Linked DNA regions of Oryctolagus cuniculus. The protein of the gene in region 2 purifies or fractionates together with the protein of the main gene of each other region. This does not show direct contact. Links are inferred from orthologs where the notes say so. Each region holds a gene or a part of one and is shown on either strand. Other genes may lie near its edges.

Region 1 (3,513 bases), on a different chromosome or scaffold from region 2:
GCATGAGAGACCTGAATGGAAGTTCTAGGATCCCAGCTTTGGCCTGGCCCAGTGCTGGTTGTTTTGGGCATTTGGGGAGTGAACCAGCAGATGGAAGACCTCTCTTTCTCTGTTACTCTGCCTTTGAAGTAAATAAATAAATCTTAAAAACAAAACAGAGGGAAGGTGTGTGGGCAGTGCCCTGTCACTTGGAGCTGCCAGGGTGGCACTCACTTCCAGCCAGAGCCTCTGAGATCACGAGTGGCCCTGTGGCAGCCCGGGGTGGGCGTGGGGATCAGAGAGGAGACAGACATGGGTGAGGCGGGAGGTTGCCCCTGTGCCAGTGTCTCTGGGCTCCTGGGGAGCTGGCGCCAGGTCGGCTGGAGCCTGTGCTCTGAAGGGCCAGCTTGCTCGCTCACTGGCCACAGGGCTCACGCCTGCCAAACTCTGTCCGGGTGGCTCACACGTGTGACATTTTGCACAGTGTCCCCAGTCAGTCTTCCCAGGAGCCCTGGGAGTGAGCCATGCAGATCACAGCCCCTGACCCACAAACCCCAAATGCAAGAAGCTCGAAAGTCCCGCAGCTGTCCCTCGGCATGATGCACAGTTCGTTTATCTGTGGAACTTGACCGGAACTGATGGGAGGCTGGGCCCTAGCTGGCCTGGGAGGGGTAGGGGTGAACGCAGTGGCGCGTCTGCCTTCTGATGTGTCATTGGGTGACGTCACTGCGTGCACATGCAGAAGCTGAGGCAGCTGTGTCCTGGGTGGCATTGCCTGACAGGGCCGCCCTGTTGTGCAGCCACTGCTGAGTGAATGCTGGGGCCAGGAACAGACGGCCTTGGGTTTCCTTGCGGAGGGGGGAGTGGCTTGCCCTGTGAGCACAGTGTGGGACCTATGGAACATGCGCTAGTCAGAACTGCCCCGCTCCGAAGTGTGGTCCTGGGGTCTCCCAGCCTGTGTCACTGTCCTCTCTTTATTGAAGATTTATTTATTTGAAATGCAGAATGACAGAGAGAGAGAGAGAGAGTGATAGAGATCTTCCATCCACTGGTTCACTCCCCAGAGGACTACCGCAGCCAGGGCTGGGCCAGGCCAGAACCGGGAGCCAGGAACTCCATCCAGATTTGCACTAGGGTGGCAGGGAGCCAAGCACTTGAGCCATCCTCTGCTGCCTCTCAGTGTACACGTAGCTGGCAGCTGGACCAGAAGTAGAGACGGGACTCAATTCCAGGCACTCGGATAAGGGATGCGGCATCACAAGCTGTGACTTAACCCCCTGCGCCACAGCGCCCCACTCCCTCCGCCTCATGTCATTACTCTTCCTTAGAGATGAGGAGAGGTCCCTAATCTTCCCGGAGCCACCCAGTCAGCTGGGTCTATCCCGCTGACCTGGGGGAGAGGAGGGGAGGGCTTGGTGGGGCTGGGGCTGGGGTGCCGCCCCCGGGGTTGGCCTTCCCATTTCTCTCATGGTGCGTTTGGGTGGATGGAGGATTGAGTGTAGGGTGGCATTTGGGGCTCAGGGGTTGGGAAGGTCACTCTCTCTGTGCTCTCGCAGATGGTGTGGTCCTGGTGGATCCCGAATACCTGAAAGAGAGGAGAGGTAGGCTGCAGCCCCACCCCCACCTGCCACGGGGCCCCTCTCCCACGCCTCCTCTGTCCAGGGACCTCCTGGCCTCCCAGGGGGCCTCCGGCTCATCCCACTGCCACTCCCTGCCCATCCCTAGTGGGGCCTCCTGCCCCAGCCCTTTCACACCAGTGAGGGCTGGGGATGCCGACAGAGCAGGAGTTAGGACAGGGCCCCAGGGAGGGGAAGGGATTCTGCAGGGTCAGCGGGAGGAAGGGACGAGATGCCTGGCAGACACCTCCCAGCATTAGCTCGCCCTCCCCTGCTGTCCCCTGCCCACCAGCCCCAGCCCTCACTGCCCATCAGACCACTCCCTGTGCCCCCACCCCAACCAGGCAAGAGTGGGACAGAGATAGCCACCGGCAACACACCCACAGGCACACAGCCCATGGGCTGCCCTTCCAGGCCCCCAGTCCTGGCCTCTCCAAAGGGAGATGGGTGACCGCCGGGCTGCAGCGGGAGCTCTGGGTGGGGGAGGCTCCCTGCTGCTCTCCAGGCCCCTCCTCAGTGGCCCCTGCTCCCCCACAGTCTATGTGACACTCACCTGCGCCTTCCGCTATGGCCGGGAGGACCTGGACGTCCTGGGCCTGACCTTTCGCAAGGACCTGTTTGTGGCCAACGTGCAGTCCTTCCCGCCGGCCCCTGAGGACAAGAAGCCCCTGACGCGGCTGCAGGAGCGGCTCATCAAGAAGCTGGGCGAGCACGCCTACCCATTTACCTTTGAGGTCAGGGACTGCCACCCTCGGGCCCCTTCTGGAAGGGCGGAAGGGGGCAGCTGCTCCGTGTCACCCACTTGTCCCACGTATGCTGGGCCCTGGGGCACTTACGTGACCTGGTACCTGTCTCTTCTCTGGTCACTGCTAGAGCGTCCTCCTTACTTGTGGGATCCCCGCTGAGTAGGAGGGAGGGGAACCCAGGGGCCGCAGAGAGAAGGAGCACTGTGCTGTGTGGCCCCAGATCGCTGGGCCCGCCTGCCTCCCAGCTCCAATGCCCTGCCCTGCCCCCTGCCGATTCCAAGACCCAGATTCTGGGTTCCAGAACGCCGAGCTCCTAGGCTGATTCCATGCTGTGGGCATTAGAGCCAGGCGGGCTGCGGGCGTCTCTCTGTGCGGATGTGAGTTTCCTGCACTGCCCCGCAGGCCCCGGGCGATTACCCACAGCGATTAAGGCAGCTGACGTGGGTGATCTCACAGCTCTGGCAGCTGCAAGTCTGATATGGGTCTTGCCGGGCCTGGATCTGGGTGCTGGTGTGGCCGTGTTCCTGGATTACCGCCTCCCCCCACCTGGATTACTGCCTCCCCCACCTGGATTACTGCCTCTCCCACCTGGATTACCACCTCCCCCCCTCCCACCTGGATTACCGCCTCCCCCACAATCCCAGGTCCTTGACTCAGTCGCAGCTGCAGAGTCGTGTTGCTGTGGAAGGTGACCTAGCCACAGGCTGGGGGCAGCAGGGGGCAGGCAGCCTTGGGGGCCGTCACTCTGCAGCAGACGCCAAGGAAGCCTCCTTCCCTGCTATGACCGCGACGACAGGGCTGCGGGAGGCATGGCATGGCACGGTCTGATGGGGAGGCCCAGCTTGTCCTCGGGAGCCTCTAGTCTGATGGGGGAGACGTGTCTTGTCCTCGGGGCCCTCATCTGATGGGACAGGCACAGGCTCTCAAGGGCCTGGTGTGATGATGTGTGGGAGTGGCAGGAGTGCGGGTGACAGTGGCTCGTTCTGTCTCCTGAACAGATTCCTCCAAACCTGCCATGCTCTGTGACACTGCAGCCCGGGCCCGAGGACACGGGCAAGGTAGGTCACCCCAGGGGAATCTCTCTGGTCCAGGGCCCTCTTGTCCCCAGGTCCTGGCCTTCTCCCTGGTTGGTGCTGGACCCATAGGACCACCTGCCTTGTTGGAGCTTCCTT
Region 2 (3,513 bases):
CAGTTGGAGGACAGCCCAAGCCCCTGCCACCCAACTGAGATACTGGATATACTTCCTGGTTCCTGGCTTCAGCCTGGCCCAGACTTGGTTGTTGCAGCCATTTGGGGAGTAAACCAGTGGATGGAAGATCTCTCTCTGCATTTCAAATAAATAAATAAATAAGGAAATAAATCTTAATTAAAAATAAGAGGCAGCAGGGGTTCACCTGTACAGAGAAAAGTCCATGTGAAGGCACAGCGAGAAGGAAACCATCTGCATACCTAGGAGAGAGGTCTTCGGAGAAACCAAAGCCTCTGACATCTTGACCTTGGACTTGTCAATTCTAGAACTCAGAGAAAACAAACGTCTGTGGCTGAAGCCTCCTAGCCTGTGGTATTTTGCTTCAGCATCTCTAGCACACAAATACACCACGGAGCAACAACTTCATCACCCAGAATTGCTTGGTTCACTGCACACAGAACCCTCTAACAGCGAACAGCAGAGACTTCTTAGAGCTCTCACCCTGCATCTGAACCCAGTGCCACAAGAACCACGTCTCTGCTGTGGTTGTGATGCTTCCCAAACATTCAAAACCACAGCTGGCAGGTGGCTTCCTGCTAACATGGGAGTCAGAGGTACACAAGGCTCAAGGCCTGTTGACTGAACAAATGGAATTAAAAGAATAAACAAATGAACAAACAGGGCTGAAAGGGACTGGCTGTAACCTCTCCAACATAAAAAAAAATTGCTTCTGACTTAAAAATAGCTTCCTGGGGGGACACTAAGCCTCCACCTGTGGCGTCGGCATCCCATATGGGCACTGGTTCGTGTCCCGGCTGCTCCTCTTCAGATCCAGCTCTCTGCTATGGCCTGGGAAAGCAGTAGAAGATGGCCCAAGTGCTTGAGCCTCTGTTCCCACATGGGAGATCCAGTAGAAGCTCCTGGTTCCTGGCTTCAGATTGGCACAGCTCTAGCCATTGCGGCCATTTGGGGAGCAAGCCAGCAGATGGAGGTCCTTTCTCTCTGTCTCTCCCTCTCTCTGTAACTCTCCATTTCACATAAATAAATAAAATCTTTTTTAAAAAAGAATAGCTTCCCCATTCCAGTCTCTATATTAGGAACTGCTTCTTTCCGTTCCCAGGATAGTCTATCACGGCGAGCACCTCAGGGGCCTCATGGCTCCCATGCTCTGTGACAGCCCCAGGTGCTGTGACACAGGGAGAACTTGTAAGCTCTGGACACAAAGTATCACTGAGGGGTAGGGGTGGGGGTGGAGGTGGGGTGGGGCCGTACCTGAGCTAGAGATTCCATCAGGTTTCTCACAATTTTGTCTTGGTCTTCAGTCAGGATCCTGTGCAGCGTGGCGCGGCGCTCGCTGTCCTTCCGCAGCAGGAAGAACCCAGAGTCCTTCTCCTCGGGGGAAGGGGGTGCGCTGTGGTCCTCGAAGTTCTCATCTGGAATGCTGAAACGAGGGGAGCGGCATGAGGCGCAAGGTCCCGGGGAGCCACGCGCCCGCCCCCCGGGCCAGGCAGCCCTTTACCCCAGGAAGAGGGTCCGTATTCCTTTGACATCTTTCTCGCCGCAGGATTTGGCTCTGGTTTTGAAGGAGAAGGGGTCCGCCTTTAGCTCAGTGTCGGGGGAAACAGAGCCGTACTCGCTGCTGCTGCTCGTGTCCTCCACCAGGACGGGCACCGGCAAGGAGATGCTCCTGAGATACTCTGCGTGGACGAGAAGCAACAGGCATAACTCACACCTCTGACAACTGACACGTGGCGAGGGGCGGGCATTGTGGCACAGCGGGTTGGGACCCCGCATCCTCATCAGAGTACCTGGAATTGAGCCTTTGTTTCCCATCTGGCTTCCTGCCACTGCACCTGGGAGGTAACAGGTAACGGCTCGAGTATTTTGGTCCATTCTACCCTTGGGGCAGACTCAGATGGAGTTTCTAGCTCCTGCCTATGGCCTGGAGCAGCTCTGGCTGTTGCAGGCATTTAGGGAGTAAACCAGTAAACGGAAGATCTCTGTCTCTCATACTTGCGCGCGCTCTCTCTCTCTCTGCCTTTCAAATAAATTTTTGTTTAAAAAGTACACATGTTGAAATAGCTGCAGAAAGATGCCAACAGTCGTCTTCACGTATCTCAGTGCAATGAGAGGTGTAATTCTGCTACTCAAGGAGCTGGCTGTGTGACTGTGATTGCCCCGAGCTCAGTAAAGAAATGTAAGCCACGAAAGGGACTCCCGGGCCCTGAAAGGAATCTCTCAAGGATATGAAAGAGATGTAGAAGCACCAGGCTTCGGATCCCTTCATTTTATTAACTATTTATTATTTTATCCACAGGTCTCCATTTTCACATCTATAAGATACAGAACCAGATTCAATTTTTAGAGATGTATTTTATTTATTTGAAAGGCAGAGTGACAGAAAAACATCTCACCTCTTCTGACTGGGCCTGATCAATACCAGGAGCCAAGAACTCCATCCAGGTCTCCCGCATGGGTGGCAGGGGCCCAGGTGCTTGGGCCATCTTCCACTGCCTTCCCAGGCACATTAGCAGAGGGCTGGGAAACTTGTAATTTATAAGCCATGTTCTTCAGAGCTTTAAGAATCCTCCTTAGCACTGGGGTTGCCAAGGGTGGGGTGGGTGTGAGGCTGAGTCTGGACCACAGGTCCAACTCTATTTTTCTAAAACGAGTAACGCTCTGGCCAGCATGTATCTTGGCTTTGTATGAGGAGGCAAATGAAAAGGCATTCTCTGCTAAGAACAGATTCTGGAAAGCAATGGACTAATGATCTCTTTGGTCCGTAGTTCTCAGATACTATGGTTGTATAGCAAACACAGGCTTCTACTTTATTCAGATGGGGACTAAGCTGGCACAATGGGGGCTGCTGACCTTTCATCAAACACTGGTTTTAAGAACAAAATATTTGCCAGAAACGTTTTTATCAAACACGTATTCCAGCGCTCCAAAAGTCTTTTGCTAAAGAAGGCAGACGTGAAATTATTAGAAAAGAAATCCACTGTTGCCTGGAAACTCCTCTCTACTTGCTTCCTCTTGGGCTGGGCTGAAGCAGCAACTGGTCTCAAGGTCAGGAGACGGGGGTGGACATCTGATAAGCAGTTGAGATGCTGCTCGGGACGCCTGTATCCCACATCAGAGTGCCAGGTTCCACACCAGCTGCTCACTTCTGATCCAGCCTCCTGCTAATGCAAACCCCGGGGGCAGCAGGTGATGGCTCAGGCAGCTGGATTCCTGCCATCCACATGGAAGATGGAGTTCCTGGCTCTTGGCTTCAGCTTGGCGCAGCCCTGGCTCTTATAGGCATTCTGGGATTGAAACAACAGATGGAAGATCTCTCTCTCTCTCTCTCTGTCTCTCAGATAAAATGAAAATAGATTTAAAAATTTTTTTTAAAGTCGGGGGATGGCCAGTCAGCAGTGGCTTCCTGACTCCATTTGCTACAGTGACAAATCGATGCTCATGAACAGGATGGGGTGGTGGCAGTGGGCCACGGAGACAAATGGACATACTGGA
Region 3 (4,221 bases), about 100 Mb from region 2:
TCTGTCTTGCATCATTGCGTATTTGGAGATGACCTCGTCTAGGCGGCTCAAGGCCAAGGTCCGGTTTTCCCGAAGGCGCCGGGCCAAGGCAGGATCTGACAGTGCAGGGTCAATGCCTACATGGGAAGATATGACAGCAGAGCACTCAGCCCACACCCTGGCAGAGAGGGCGAGCGGTCCCCTCTGCCTCCGACGGGCACCCCGCTAACCCGCTACCTGGCCTGTAGTCATCCGTGAGGTGGCAGCCGAAGTTGTAGATGAGGTCGAGATGGCGTCGCTCCTGTAGCCTGACGCCCACATCTCGGAAGGCGTCCTGGGCCATGAGCTGGAGCTGCTGGCGCGGGAGGCCGAGGCTGTGCCGGACAGCTGCCTTCTCTACGGCCCGCAGCACATCACCGTAGTCGGGGAAGGTGTCGGGGCCTGGCTTGTTGATGAGCCGCTCGATGCGCCTGTTGACCTCTGGGTAGCGGGTGCCGCGGTAGGGGATGCGCTGCTCTATGACCCGGCCGGTCAGCGAAGAGCAGTCTTTCAGCTCGCACAGTCGCCCAAAGAGGCGGATCAGCTTCCGCTTCAAGCGCGACTCCTGCAGGTACGTGGAGTCTGGGTCATCCAGTTCTGACAGATCCAGCTCCTTCTCCTGCAGCCTCCGGATCTCCGCCACGTACAGTGCCAGCAGCTGCTCTAGGCGCTGGATCTGCCGGCGGGAGCCACGGGTCCTTGGGGCCTCGGAGACAGCGGCCTCAGCATTGCCGGGCTCCGAGGCCGGGTCTGCAGAAGTATTACTCCCAGAGGGCTCACTGGAGGCGGTGGCAGCAGGAGCGAAGTTCAGCTTCTTCTTGGCTGAGTGGGCCTTGAGAACGGTGCAGAGCTCGTTGATGTAGACGTAGAGCTTGGCGGGCCGGCTCCGGGCCCGGGACAGGACCCGAGAGAGGATGTTGCAGAACTCGGCTGAGGCCAAAAACACAGAGTGGGCACGCTGCTGCCGACTGGAGAGGAACGGGACCACCTCAGGGTGGTCCGCTGTCTGCGTCTTACACAGTTCAAGGAACTGGAGGGTTCGGGGGAAGAAGAGAGCGGACAAGAGACAAGGGAGGGGGTTGAGAGAGAGAAGGGGGGGTGCAGTTAGTGGGGGAGAGAGGACCAGAGAGCCAGTGCGCCATCCCCCTCCCTGGGGTATAAGAATCTTCTCCCCTAAAGCTCACCTCTTCAAACAGCTTCTCATTCTCCAACTTGTAGCATTTCTTGCCGCCAGAACTACTGCTTCCTCCGGCCCCATGGGGCTCAGAGGAGCCAGGGGCTTCTGCCTGGGGTGAGGCCGGAGTGGGGGGTGGGTGGGAGGGCCCTGGCTGAGCGACTGCTTCATCTTCGTCATCATCATCCAGCACAATGATGCTGTTAGCGGTGGCCATGAGGGATCAAATCCCCCGGAGGGAGGAAGTGTTGGGGGTTTCAGAATTCCTGCTGGAAGGGGATGGGGCCTCAGAAAGAGCCCCTCCAGCATAGCCCCTCCCTTCAGCTCAGTTTCCAATCTCCGTGGGTTTCAGCAACACCCAGCCCTGCCCAACAGTGTCCTCACTGCCTGTCTTCTGCAACCATTAGCTCTGGATGCCTTCCCGGGCCCTTCAAGTGGCCCAGGACAGGGAACCGCAAACATTCAATCGCCACACCCAGCTCTACCTCTCACATTGGCTTCCGGTCTTTCTGTTCCATCTCCCCACTATTTCTCATAGTTGTCAAGTTGGTTCTTCCAACCCCAGTCCCGCTTCCCAGATTCCCATGACACCCTCACACACGGAAAACACACTCGCTCTGGCTGCCTCACGTCTGGCCCCTTTCACCCCGAAACATGTCAAACCCATACCCCACCCTTAATGATCACCCCAACTCCTAGACAATCCAACAGTCCTCTCAACGATCCATTCTCCTTTCCCCTCCTGCTATTAACTCCGTATTTCACCCTCTGATGGGCTTCTTCAAACCAGGGCACTGGGTTGGAGTATGACACCTCAAGAGCCCTCCCTCTCACCCCACCCTGATTTTACCTGGTCGCTCTCTGTGACTTGTAACCGATCGTGAGACCTACAGTGGGCTCTCCCGATTCTTCTCGGATCCCACCCTTGAGTCGCGCCGGCAGGGTAGATGAGCTTCCCGCCAAGTCCCCCTCCCCCAGGTCAGACCCCTAGCCGCCCCACTTCCCTTCAGGAATAAGGTACCAGAGCATGCCTCTCAGACTCAGAGCCCGCGTCTCCCCAGTACCGCCTCCTCGATATCCCCTCCCCCGTTTTCGCTCCCCACACAGTCCGGCCCGCACCTCAGAAACGGTCTCACGAGACGACCCTCGCCGCTGATCTCAGAACCTCGCATGGTTCCCTCCGCCTTCCTTCCCCCTCCCACCGCAGGCCCCACTACAGACCGGAAGCCGCGGAGTTTCCGCCTACACGCGTATAAGCGCGGCCATATTGTCGTACGGAGCCCAGCCTTCCTGCTTCCGGAAGGCCCCACCGAGCGTGCCTAGTACCGCCCACCTAGCCCGCGACTCCCTTCCCCCTGACCTGTAGGGGGCGGGGCCTGCCCCTTCAGGGCGTCCCGAAGTTGCTGGGGGCCGCCATTTTGTTGTACGGCCCCAGCTCTGCAGTGACTTGGGCCCTCAGCCGGCGGAGCTATTTTCACCTGGTGCTTCTGGGACTCCGCCAATCAGAAACTTCCTGCCTCGAGCCCAACCGCCAGCTAGTCGCGTGCCGAGACCACTGAGCCACCTTTCCCAGGGGTGGGAGGGGGGCAGTGGAATAGGCTGGCTGAAGAACTGGGGTCGCCAAGGCTGTGCATGGCTTCAGGAAAGGGCAGGCGTGTCTAAACGGGGAAATAAAACCTTTTCCTTCCGCTGGGCAATTAGTGAGGCTTCCGGTCCTGCTTTCCTATCTCCCAGGTACCGGTTTCCACCGCTTAATGGGCTTTGCGCCCCTCGCCGCTGCCCGGCCGCCGCTTCCACTTCCAGGTGCTACGTCCCCGGCCGGGAAATGTCGACGCATGCGTACAAACGAGCACCGCGCTCCCTGAAGGTGGTGGTGGTGGTATTACTATCGCTACGTTGTTGTTGACTGGCTTTCCGAGCTCCGCCTCAGAACTAATCAGCGTCCAAGCCGGCGGGACCCGAGCGGCGCTGCGCTGTTCTCCGAGTGGGGCCTGGACGCTGCGGCGGCATCGGCCCCTCGAGGCTCTGTCGTGGGGTCCGGGGGCTGGGGGGAGCAGCTGGGCGATGGCCCCCGCGCGTGCGGGGAGACGCGGTGGTCTCCTGCTCCTCAGGGAGAGCCGAGGACAGAGTGAGGAAGGAGCCGGAGGAGACGCCTCGCGTGGGGGAGGCCGGGCCGCGTCCCGAGGCGCGCTTGCGGGGACAGCGCGAAGCCCACGCGCGGGTGGTGGCCTCCTGCCTCAGGCCCGCGGCCTTGCATCCCTGACGCTTCCTTTGAGAATCCCTGTCACTTCTCGCCAGTCGTCCAGGCCTACAGCCTTCAAATTGAGCAACAAAACTCGCCAAGACCACTGGGTCTTGACAAAGAGGATTTAAGTTTCAGATCCTCAGCTTTCCCAAAATTGGGCTCCCAGAGCGAGCGCCTGCGGTAGAGGTTCTCCCTCTTCCTTCCCCTTCACAATGGACTTTCTCCATCTTATAATAATTCACAGCCGTGAAGTTGCCTGGGTCTCTTACCTGGCTGAAGTCAAAAGACACGTGGTCTATTTCAGCGATGCACCATGAACACAATCTTCTAGCTTATTAAAAATTCGTAATGCAAAAATTTGCACAATCTTTGTGCTGCTTGATAAATTCGTTTTTCATAATTGTAACGATAAATATTTTTAACAAAGAGTCAAAATCGCAAGAAAGACTTTTTTATTTAAAAAAATGTTTTTTATTTGACAGGTAGAGTTAGAGACAGAGAGAAAGGTCTTCCTTACGTTGGTTCACCCCCCAAATGGCCACTACGGCTGGCGCTGTGCCGATCCGAAGCCAGGAGCCAGGTGCTTCCTCCTGGTCTCCCATGCGGGTGCAGGGCCCAGGCACTTGGGCCATCCTCCACTGCCTTCCCGGGCCACAGCAGAGAGCTGTACTGGAAGAGGAGCAACCGGGACTAGAACCCGGCGCCCATATGGGATGCCGGCGCCGCAGGTGGAGGATTAACCAAGTGAGCCACGGCGCCGGCCCCAAGAAAGACATTTTTCATC
Region 4 (3,513 bases), on a different chromosome or scaffold from region 2:
ACTGATCCCCAGCCGGGACAAGTGGCCCCAGGCACGGGGCGGGAGAGGAGGCTCTGGGCTGGGCAGGGGGTCCCCCACCCCAGCTGCCTCCCCGCCCCACAGCCCGAGGCTCCTCCCACAGCACTGACCTCTGTGGATCACCGAGAGCTTGCTGTGCAGGTGCTCCAGGGCCCGCACCACCTGGGGAGGGCAGGGCCGGCCGGTGAGGATCGGAGCAGCCAGACCCCTCCCACAACCCTATGTCCACCTCCTGAGCCCCCTGCAGCCCTGCCACCCCCGCCCCCACCCGGACTCCTGCCTATGACCCAGCAGCTGCCCTGGCACCCCGGATATCCTGGCCCAGACACGCCCACCTCCTGCCCGCCCCCTCTCACCCTCAGGGTCATAAGCCCTGCCCCGGACCCCCAGGGATCCCAGGCTGTACCCCCCTCCCAGGGCCATCACACCACCGACCAGGCTCCTCTGGGGCAGAGCCCAGTCTCCCCGAGTCCCCTGCCCTGGTCCGGCAAGCTGCTGGCCTCGTAGGAAGTCACCCTGCTTTCAATGTCCCCACTCAGGGTGGACAGCCTCTGGTGGTACCAAGAAGCCCGTTGCCCTTTTCCCTCTGGCTGCCAGGATGCTCCAGCCCTCCTCCAAGACCCAGCGCTTCAATGCGGACCTTCCCCAGCCTGGCCTGCACCCCTGCAGCTGCCCTGCGCTGTGCTTGGTGGGAGGCAGGTGGAAATGCTAAGTTTCTTTTTTAACAATGGCAGGGGCTACAGAGTTGCTCTTAGAGGCCGGAGCCTGGTCTGGCATCTCCCAGCGAGAAGGCTCCGGTCTGGAGTCAGGGAGCTGAGCAGTACCAGGGGGCCTCTGGCCCTGGCCCTGGAAACCCGCCCCCGCCAAGCCTACTTACAGACACGGCGATCTCCCCCAGGATGTCCTCCGGGATTGTCATGCCTTTCTCCAGCACCTTGCGGTAGAACTTGTCCAACGACGTGTCCATGAGCTCCATGCAGATCCACACGTCTCCCTGGGGGCGGCACCGGGCTTAGCCGGGCCTGCGCGCCTGCGCCGACCTGGGACGTCGGCCTCTCCCTCTGCTTCCTAAACCCACAGCCCTCCAGGACAGCCGTGAGCCAGCCAGCAACACGGGCCTGCCTCGCTGCCCCCTGCCTTGTGGTGGCTCAGCCCTGGCTGCCTCGCCTGCCCTTCCTGCAGACCCAGAACCTCACCCCTGCACAGCCAGGCCCCGCCCCCGACCCCCAGGCTGCAGCTGCACCTGCTGGTGCATGGCTTCAGCCCCCATGCCCACCACAGGAGGGCGCTGAGAGGTGCGTATAGTCACAGACAGAGAAACGGAGGCACAGAGCAGGGCAGTGCCAGATGGCAGGCAAGGGAGCCGGGCCCGTCCCATGCCAGGGCCTGGGCTGCTTAAGATCCCAGCTGTGCAGGCTCTGCTTAGCCTGCCCCGTGTCCCCAACCCCTGGTATGCAGAAAGGCGGGGCTGAGTGACAGAGGCTCCTGGCAGACAGGCAGACTGGCGCAGGCCCCTCGACACCCCACCCCCTGCCCCCACCCTGCCAGGCCGCACCTCTCGGAAGAGCGCCCCGTAGAAGGTGACGGTGTAGAAGCAGTCCACTGTGCGCATGTTGATATCCAGGTCCATGAGCAGCCGTTTCTGCTCCTGTGAGTTCACGGTGGCCCGAATCCGCTGCGGGGAAAGGGGCTGCAGTGGAGAGGCCGCCCCGGCAGGGGGCAGACAGCCCTCGCCCGCACACCTCCTCCAGGCAGCCCTCCCGGTTGCCTCCAGGCCCTGGAGCCGAGTGGGCACGGCGCTTACCTTCACGGCCATGATGGTGCCACTCTGGGCATGCCGCACTTTCTCCACCACCCCGTAGGCGCCACGGCCCAGCTCTGAGATGGTCACCAGGTCATCGGCCTCCACCTCGAAGTTCTTGGGAGGGAGGGGCAGAATAGAGAGGGGGTTGGTGGGCACCCAGTTGGGAGCTGGCCCAGTGGGGACAGCTGGGACCGTGGAGAGAGAAGATCGGTTTTTCAGATCTGGGCTCGGTCCCTGCTGTGTGACCCTGGGTAAGTCACTGAACCTCTCTGAGCTGCTCATTATACCAACACCCAAGGGAGCCCGGGAGCTGCCCTTTCCCTCGCCCCCACCCCCGGCCACTTGAGTGCACCTGCCACGTGCAAGTCTCCCAGTGAGAACAAAAGGAAGGCCTTGCCCTCAAAGGGGCTCCTTCCACCAGGAGAGACGAGTGTGCAGGTGATAGAACAGCGATTGGGCAGTCGAGGGAGGGCCCCGGAGGTCAGGCAAGCCTGGGTGGGCACGTGGGGGCATTGGCTGGCCCAGGAGCCTGCTCCGGAGAGCGCCATGCTCACTCGGCTCCCCACGGACCCCAGGTTGCAGGGATGTCAGAGAGAAGGCGGCCCAGGGCCACGGCCAGCAACCCCAGGAGCCAGGCTCCTCCACCTCCCAGGGCCCTCCCAGCGGCTCAGCGTGGTGCGCTCATCAGAGAATGGCGAGGCTGCGCCCAGGGCTGCGGCGGCGGCGGCGGCGGCACCTACCCTGTCTCCGATGGTGATAAAGGTTCGGGAGTCCAAGTTCCGGGGTGGTCTGTGGGGGAGGGGAAGCAGACACTGAGTTCAAAGAGGGCCAGGGTGGGCTGAGGAGCTGCAGGGGACCCCAGCTGTCACATGGGCCAAGCCCCCAGGATGGGGTGGGGCACAGAGCTTCAGTGATGCTGGGACCTCCCCCCCCAACCCTCTGCCACTCAGGGCAGGGCCAGCCCCCTTCCTCGGGGCTCCCTCCGCCGGGACCCCAGGAAGCCTGTCCAAGATGAGCCGGGGGAAACTGAGACCGACTCACGTGGGGTTGGGCGCAGGCGGCTTGGACACACAGGAGATCCGTAAATCCTTCTTCCTCTTGGATTTTCCTAAAAAGAGAGAAGAGGCATCTGGTCAACCCCCAGTCCACCAACATGCCCTAGGCTCCCCAGGGACGGGCCAGGCTAGGGACAGAGCTGACTTAAGGTGCCCCCTCTCAAGGGGGTCCTGCTTCCCACTCACAGGGGCCTGAGGGTCTCCCAGCACCGGGGCGGCCCGGGGCTCAGCACCCACCCTCACAGCAATGGTACAGGTGGAGCAGCGCCCCGGGGCCCAGTTCAGGGCCACACCCCACACTGTGCTGGCCCCACACATGGCTGAGGCTCAAGCCCTGTGGGCCCGCAGGAGCTGGGCTGCACCCAGAACCCGCCAGGAGCTCACCAGGCGTGAGGGACGAGGGGACGAGGCTCGCAGCCTGTCCAGCACCGGGGCACGGGGCCAGGTCTGAGTGCCTGGGGTTTGCCAGGCCCTGCACTGGTAGGGGGAAGGGACAGTGCTAGGCCCCGACCCAGGGTGACCTGCTGACGCGCTCGCCACAGCTCCCAACTGAGGGCACAGCTGTTCGTCCCCACGGCACAGGGCGGGAACTGAGACACAGCACAGGCACCGCACGCCAGACGCGGCTGGCGTCCC
Region 5 (3,284 bases), on a different chromosome or scaffold from region 2:
CCGGGAGCCGGGGACGGGGGCAGGGCAGGGGGGTGTGGTTTTTTGCTCACCCGCCAAACCCACAGGCGCGGGCACCGGGGTGCCCTTCCACTGGCACGGGCCCGGGTATTCGGAGGTCATCTACGGCCGCAAGGTCAGTGCCGTGGGCAGGGGCTGGGCGCGCGGACCCGCGGACCCGGGGTGAGCGTGCGCTTCCCCTCCCCCAGCGCTGGTTCCTGTACCCGCCCGAGAAGACGCCGCAGTTCCACCCCAACGAGACCACGCTGGCCTGGCTCCGGGACACGTACCCAGGCCTGGCCCCGGCCGCGCGGCCGCTCGAGTGCACCATCTCCGCGGGCGAGGTCCGGGCCGGGGCCGGGGCCGGGGCCGGGGCGGGGGAGGCGAGGCCCCCCGCTGACGCCCGCGCCCCTCCCGCAGGTGCTGTACTTCCCGGCCCGCTGGTGGCACGCCACGCTCAACCTGGACACGTGCGTGTTCATCTCCACCTTCCTGGGCTAGCGCTCGTGCTCACGGACTTTATTGCAGGACAGGGGCGGCGCCGGGGCGGGGGCGGGGGCGGGCCTTGCAGGGGCTCAGTAGTCCTCCACCCAGCCGTTCTCCGAGATGAACGCGTCGATGACCTCCTTCATGGCCAGGTTGGGGATGAGCTGCTCCTGGGTCAGGGGGCTCCGGGTCACGGGGTCAAAGTGGCCCACGCGCTGCGGGGACAGCGGGGTCAGCGGCGCGGCGGGGCGGGGCGCCCGGCCGGGCCGCCGCGGCCGCACCCACCTGCAGGTGCTCCTCGATGTCCTTGCGGTCGTAGGTGATGCCGCTGGGGGTGATGCAGGGCTCCCGCATCAGCTCGAAGCTGATCTTGCCGCACAGATAGTCGGGGACGTCGCGCCTCTGCACACAGGGCGCGCTCAGTGGGCGGGCGGCCGGCACCTGCCCACGGGCCCCGCCGACAAGGCTCACCTTTCTCTTCTCGTCCACTTGCGAGAAGAGCTCGTCCATGTCCGCCAAGTACTTGTCCTGGAAGAAGCGAGGGGGCGCTGCCCCGGGGCCGCACACGGCCCTCCCCCGGCCCAGCGCCGCCTGCCCCCGCCGCCCCCGCCGCCCCCGGGGCCCGCGCCCGCCGGCCGGGCCGCCCTCACGTGCTTGGCCTCAATGCAGGCCTGCTGGGCGCGGACGTGGCCGTCGTCCTCGTCCCCCTCGTGGCTCCGCTGGCACTCCTCCAGCTCCCTGCGGGCGAGCGGCCGCGCGTCAGGACCCGCCCCGCCCCGCCCCGCCCCGCCCCGCTGTCAATAAACGCGCGGAGGGGCCCACCTCTCGCGCTCGGCCGCGATGAGCCTGGCGAGGTAGGCGTGCAGCTCGCTCTCCTGGTGGATGCGCCGCTCCTCCAGGCTGTTCCAGCGCTTCTTCTTGGCGATGCGCAGCGCGCTGGGGATGTCGTCGCCGAAGTTGAGCCGCTGCTCCTTGGCCAGGCTGTAGGCTGCGGGCGCGGGGCGCGCGGTCAGCCCGGCCGGCCGCCCGCAGCCGCGCCGCGCGCCCCGCGCCGCGCGCCCACCTCGCTGCAGGTTGGCGATGGCCTCGTCGTAGCTCTCCAGCTCCAGCTGGCACTGGCCCAGGAAGAAGTGCGCCTTCACCGACTGGCCGTCCAGCTCCAGCGCGCGCCGGCAGTCGGCCAGCGCCTGCTCGTGCTGCTGCATCTTCAGGTAGCACAGGGCGCGGTTGGTGTAGTACACCGCCACCAGCGGGTTGCGCGTCTGGGGAGAGCGGGCGGCCGCGCTGTGGGCGTGCGCGCGGGCCGCACCCGCACCGCACCCGCACCCGGGCGGCCGCCGCCGCCGGGGCCGAGTCAAACGCCCCAAGCCGGGGGGCCCCGAAGGGCCGCGCCCCGGCGCCAGGCCCGCCCCCGGCGCGGCGCACTCACGATGGCGCGGCCGTAGCAGGCCGCCGCCTCCGGGTACTTGCGGCCCACGAAGAGCCGGTTGCCCTGCTCCTTGAGCTCCTGCGCGCTCGGGCTCTTCTCGGGGCTGCCGCCGCCGCCCAGCCGCGCGCCGCCCTCCTTCTCCTCCTTGCCCTTCATGGCGCCGCGCGGCACGGCCTGGGCTCCGCTCGCGGGCTCCGCGCCCGGCCGCCCGCAGCCCGCGCCCCGCTCGGCCCGGCCCGGATCGCCGCCACCGGAACTTCCGGCCGCGGGGGGCGGGGTCGCGCGTGCGCGCTGCGGCGGGGTGGGGGCGGGGCCCGCCGCGCGGAGCCTCCGAAGGACCGCCTCCCTGCGGCCGGGCTCCGCCCCTCCGCGCACGCCCCGCCCCCGGCATGGGGGCAGCGGGAGGCCGAGGCGTGCAGCGCGTGCGGGCCCCCGGGGGCGGGCCCCGCCGGCGGAGACGACCCAGGACGCCCTGACCCGCAGCTGAGTACGGCCTCAGCTGCCGCAGCCGCCCGGGCACCCTGTGCGGCCCGTGAGGCAGCGTCCGCACAGGTGGGAGCGACCCCGCCGGCGCCGCCCCCTCGGCATGGGCGGTGGGACACCGTGCCTGACCGGCCCCAGCCTGGCCCCCTCCCCCACGGCGTGCAGGCCGAACTCGTGGGCCAGGACACCCACCGCCTGTCCCCTGGGGCCGCAGCCCAGTCCCTTCGTAGATGGGAGGGCCCCGCACGGTCCGCGGGAAGCGGGGGGCAGAGACGCCTCCAGACCCCGGACAGCCACCTGGTGCCGTGTAAAATATTTATTCACTCTGCAAAAGGCGCGGACCGCGGACCCGGGGGCGGGGCGGGGGCAGGGCCTCCCCTGTGCCCAGGAGGCGGTCAGGGCGGCGGGGGGACGTGGGCGCCCAGCAGGTCGTAGGCAAAGACGTTCCAGAAGACGGCGAAGAGCAGGAAGGTGCCGTAGGCCAGCAGGACCACCCACCAGCCGCACTGGTCCCGCAGGCGCTCCTCGTAGCTGCGTAGGATGGTGAGGCCCATGCTCACGCCCACCACGGCGCCCGCCAGGTGCGCCATGAAGCTGGGCTGCGGGCCCGAGGCGGGCAGCGGCGGCGAGAAGCGCAGCCACACGGCGCGGCCCACCTCCGAGCTCACTGCGGAGGGAGGCGGCAGGTGGGCGGCGCCCCGCCCGCGGGCCCGCCCCGCCCGCCCCGCCCCTACTCACTGCACACCAGGGCCAGCACCATCCGCAGCAGCTTGTAGGGACACCGCATCCCAGCCCAGTTCTGAGGGGCGCGGAGAGGCCGTGAGACAGGCCCGCGGCGCCCGCCCCGCCCCCCGCGGGCGCCCATTACCATGACGACGTTGGCCAGGTG

The links.
Region 1: the proteins of MAP3K5 (region 2) and ARRB1 purify together in Homo sapiens (affinity purification with western blotting; 3 studies listed by BioGRID and IntAct, with this or other methods). This does not show direct contact. The link is inferred for Oryctolagus cuniculus from reciprocal best matches to the Homo sapiens genes MAP3K5 and ARRB1.
Region 3: the proteins of MAP3K5 (region 2) and DAXX purify together in Homo sapiens (affinity purification with western blotting; 7 studies listed by BioGRID and IntAct, with this or other methods). This does not show direct contact. The link is inferred for Oryctolagus cuniculus from reciprocal best matches to the Homo sapiens genes MAP3K5 and DAXX.
Region 4: the proteins of MAP3K5 (region 2) and MAP2K3 purify together in Homo sapiens (co-immunoprecipitation; 4 studies listed by BioGRID and IntAct, with this or other methods). This does not show direct contact. The link is inferred for Oryctolagus cuniculus from reciprocal best matches to the Homo sapiens genes MAP3K5 and MAP2K3.
Region 5: the proteins of MAP3K5 (region 2) and STUB1 purify together in Homo sapiens (affinity purification with western blotting; 3 studies listed by BioGRID). This does not show direct contact. The link is inferred for Oryctolagus cuniculus from reciprocal best matches to the Homo sapiens genes MAP3K5 and STUB1.

Annotation. Positions count from the first base shown.
Region 1 is NC_091432.1:66,421,630-66,425,142, reverse strand, and holds part of ARRB1 (beta-arrestin-1), read left to right. Parts: intron 1-1,535; coding exon 1,536-1,580; intron 1,581-2,132; coding exon 2,133-2,329; intron 2,330-3,339; coding exon 3,340-3,399; intron 3,400-3,513. UniProt on the Homo sapiens protein: Functions in regulating agonist-mediated G-protein coupled receptor (GPCR) signaling by mediating both receptor desensitization and resensitization processes.
Region 2 is NC_091436.1:32,275,223-32,278,735, reverse strand, and holds part of MAP3K5 (mitogen-activated protein kinase kinase kinase 5), read right to left. Parts: intron 1,698-3,513; coding exon 1,520-1,697; intron 1,442-1,519; coding exon 1,273-1,441; intron 1-1,272. UniProt on the Homo sapiens protein: Serine/threonine kinase which acts as an essential component of the MAP kinase signal transduction pathway. Plays an important role in the cascades of cellular responses evoked by changes in the environment.
Region 3 is NC_091436.1:135,802,946-135,807,166, reverse strand, and holds the start of DAXX (death domain-associated protein 6), read right to left. Parts: upstream 2,810-4,221; 5' UTR 2,671-2,809; exon of another isoform or gene 2,553-2,670; intron 2,446-2,552; exon of another isoform or gene 2,312-2,445; intron 2,180-2,311; exon of another isoform or gene 2,043-2,179; intron 1,462-2,042; 5' UTR 1,410-1,461; coding exon 1,203-1,409; intron 1,049-1,202; coding exon 217-1,048; intron 117-216; coding exon 1-116. UniProt on the Homo sapiens protein: Transcription corepressor known to repress transcriptional potential of several sumoylated transcription factors. Down-regulates basal and activated transcription.
Region 4 is NC_091448.1:65,856,990-65,860,502, forward strand, and holds part of MAP2K3 (dual specificity mitogen-activated protein kinase kinase 3), read right to left. Parts: intron 2,931-3,513; coding exon 2,864-2,930; intron 2,612-2,863; coding exon 2,563-2,611; intron 1,937-2,562; coding exon 1,823-1,936; intron 1,694-1,822; coding exon 1,574-1,693; intron 1,013-1,573; coding exon 896-1,012; intron 181-895; coding exon 129-180; intron 1-128. UniProt on the Homo sapiens protein: Dual specificity kinase. Is activated by cytokines and environmental stress in vivo. Catalyzes the concomitant phosphorylation of a threonine and a tyrosine residue in the MAP kinase p38.
Region 5 is NC_091450.1:34,026,458-34,029,741, forward strand, and holds STUB1 (E3 ubiquitin-protein ligase CHIP), read right to left. Parts: upstream 2,069-3,284; coding exon 1,913-2,068; intron 1,746-1,912; coding exon 1,547-1,745; intron 1,472-1,546; coding exon 1,306-1,471; exon of another isoform or gene 1,222-1,305; coding exon 1,134-1,221; exon of another isoform or gene 1,012-1,133; coding exon 769-1,011; exon of another isoform or gene 699-768; coding exon 573-698; 3' UTR 502-572; downstream 1-501. Other genes in the region: JMJD8 (jmjC domain-containing protein 8), read left to right, coding at 66-133, 207-341, 418-498; RHBDL1 (rhomboid-related protein 1), read right to left, coding at 2,408-3,062, 3,134-3,194, 3,264-3,284. UniProt on the Homo sapiens protein: E3 ubiquitin-protein ligase which targets misfolded chaperone substrates towards proteasomal degradation.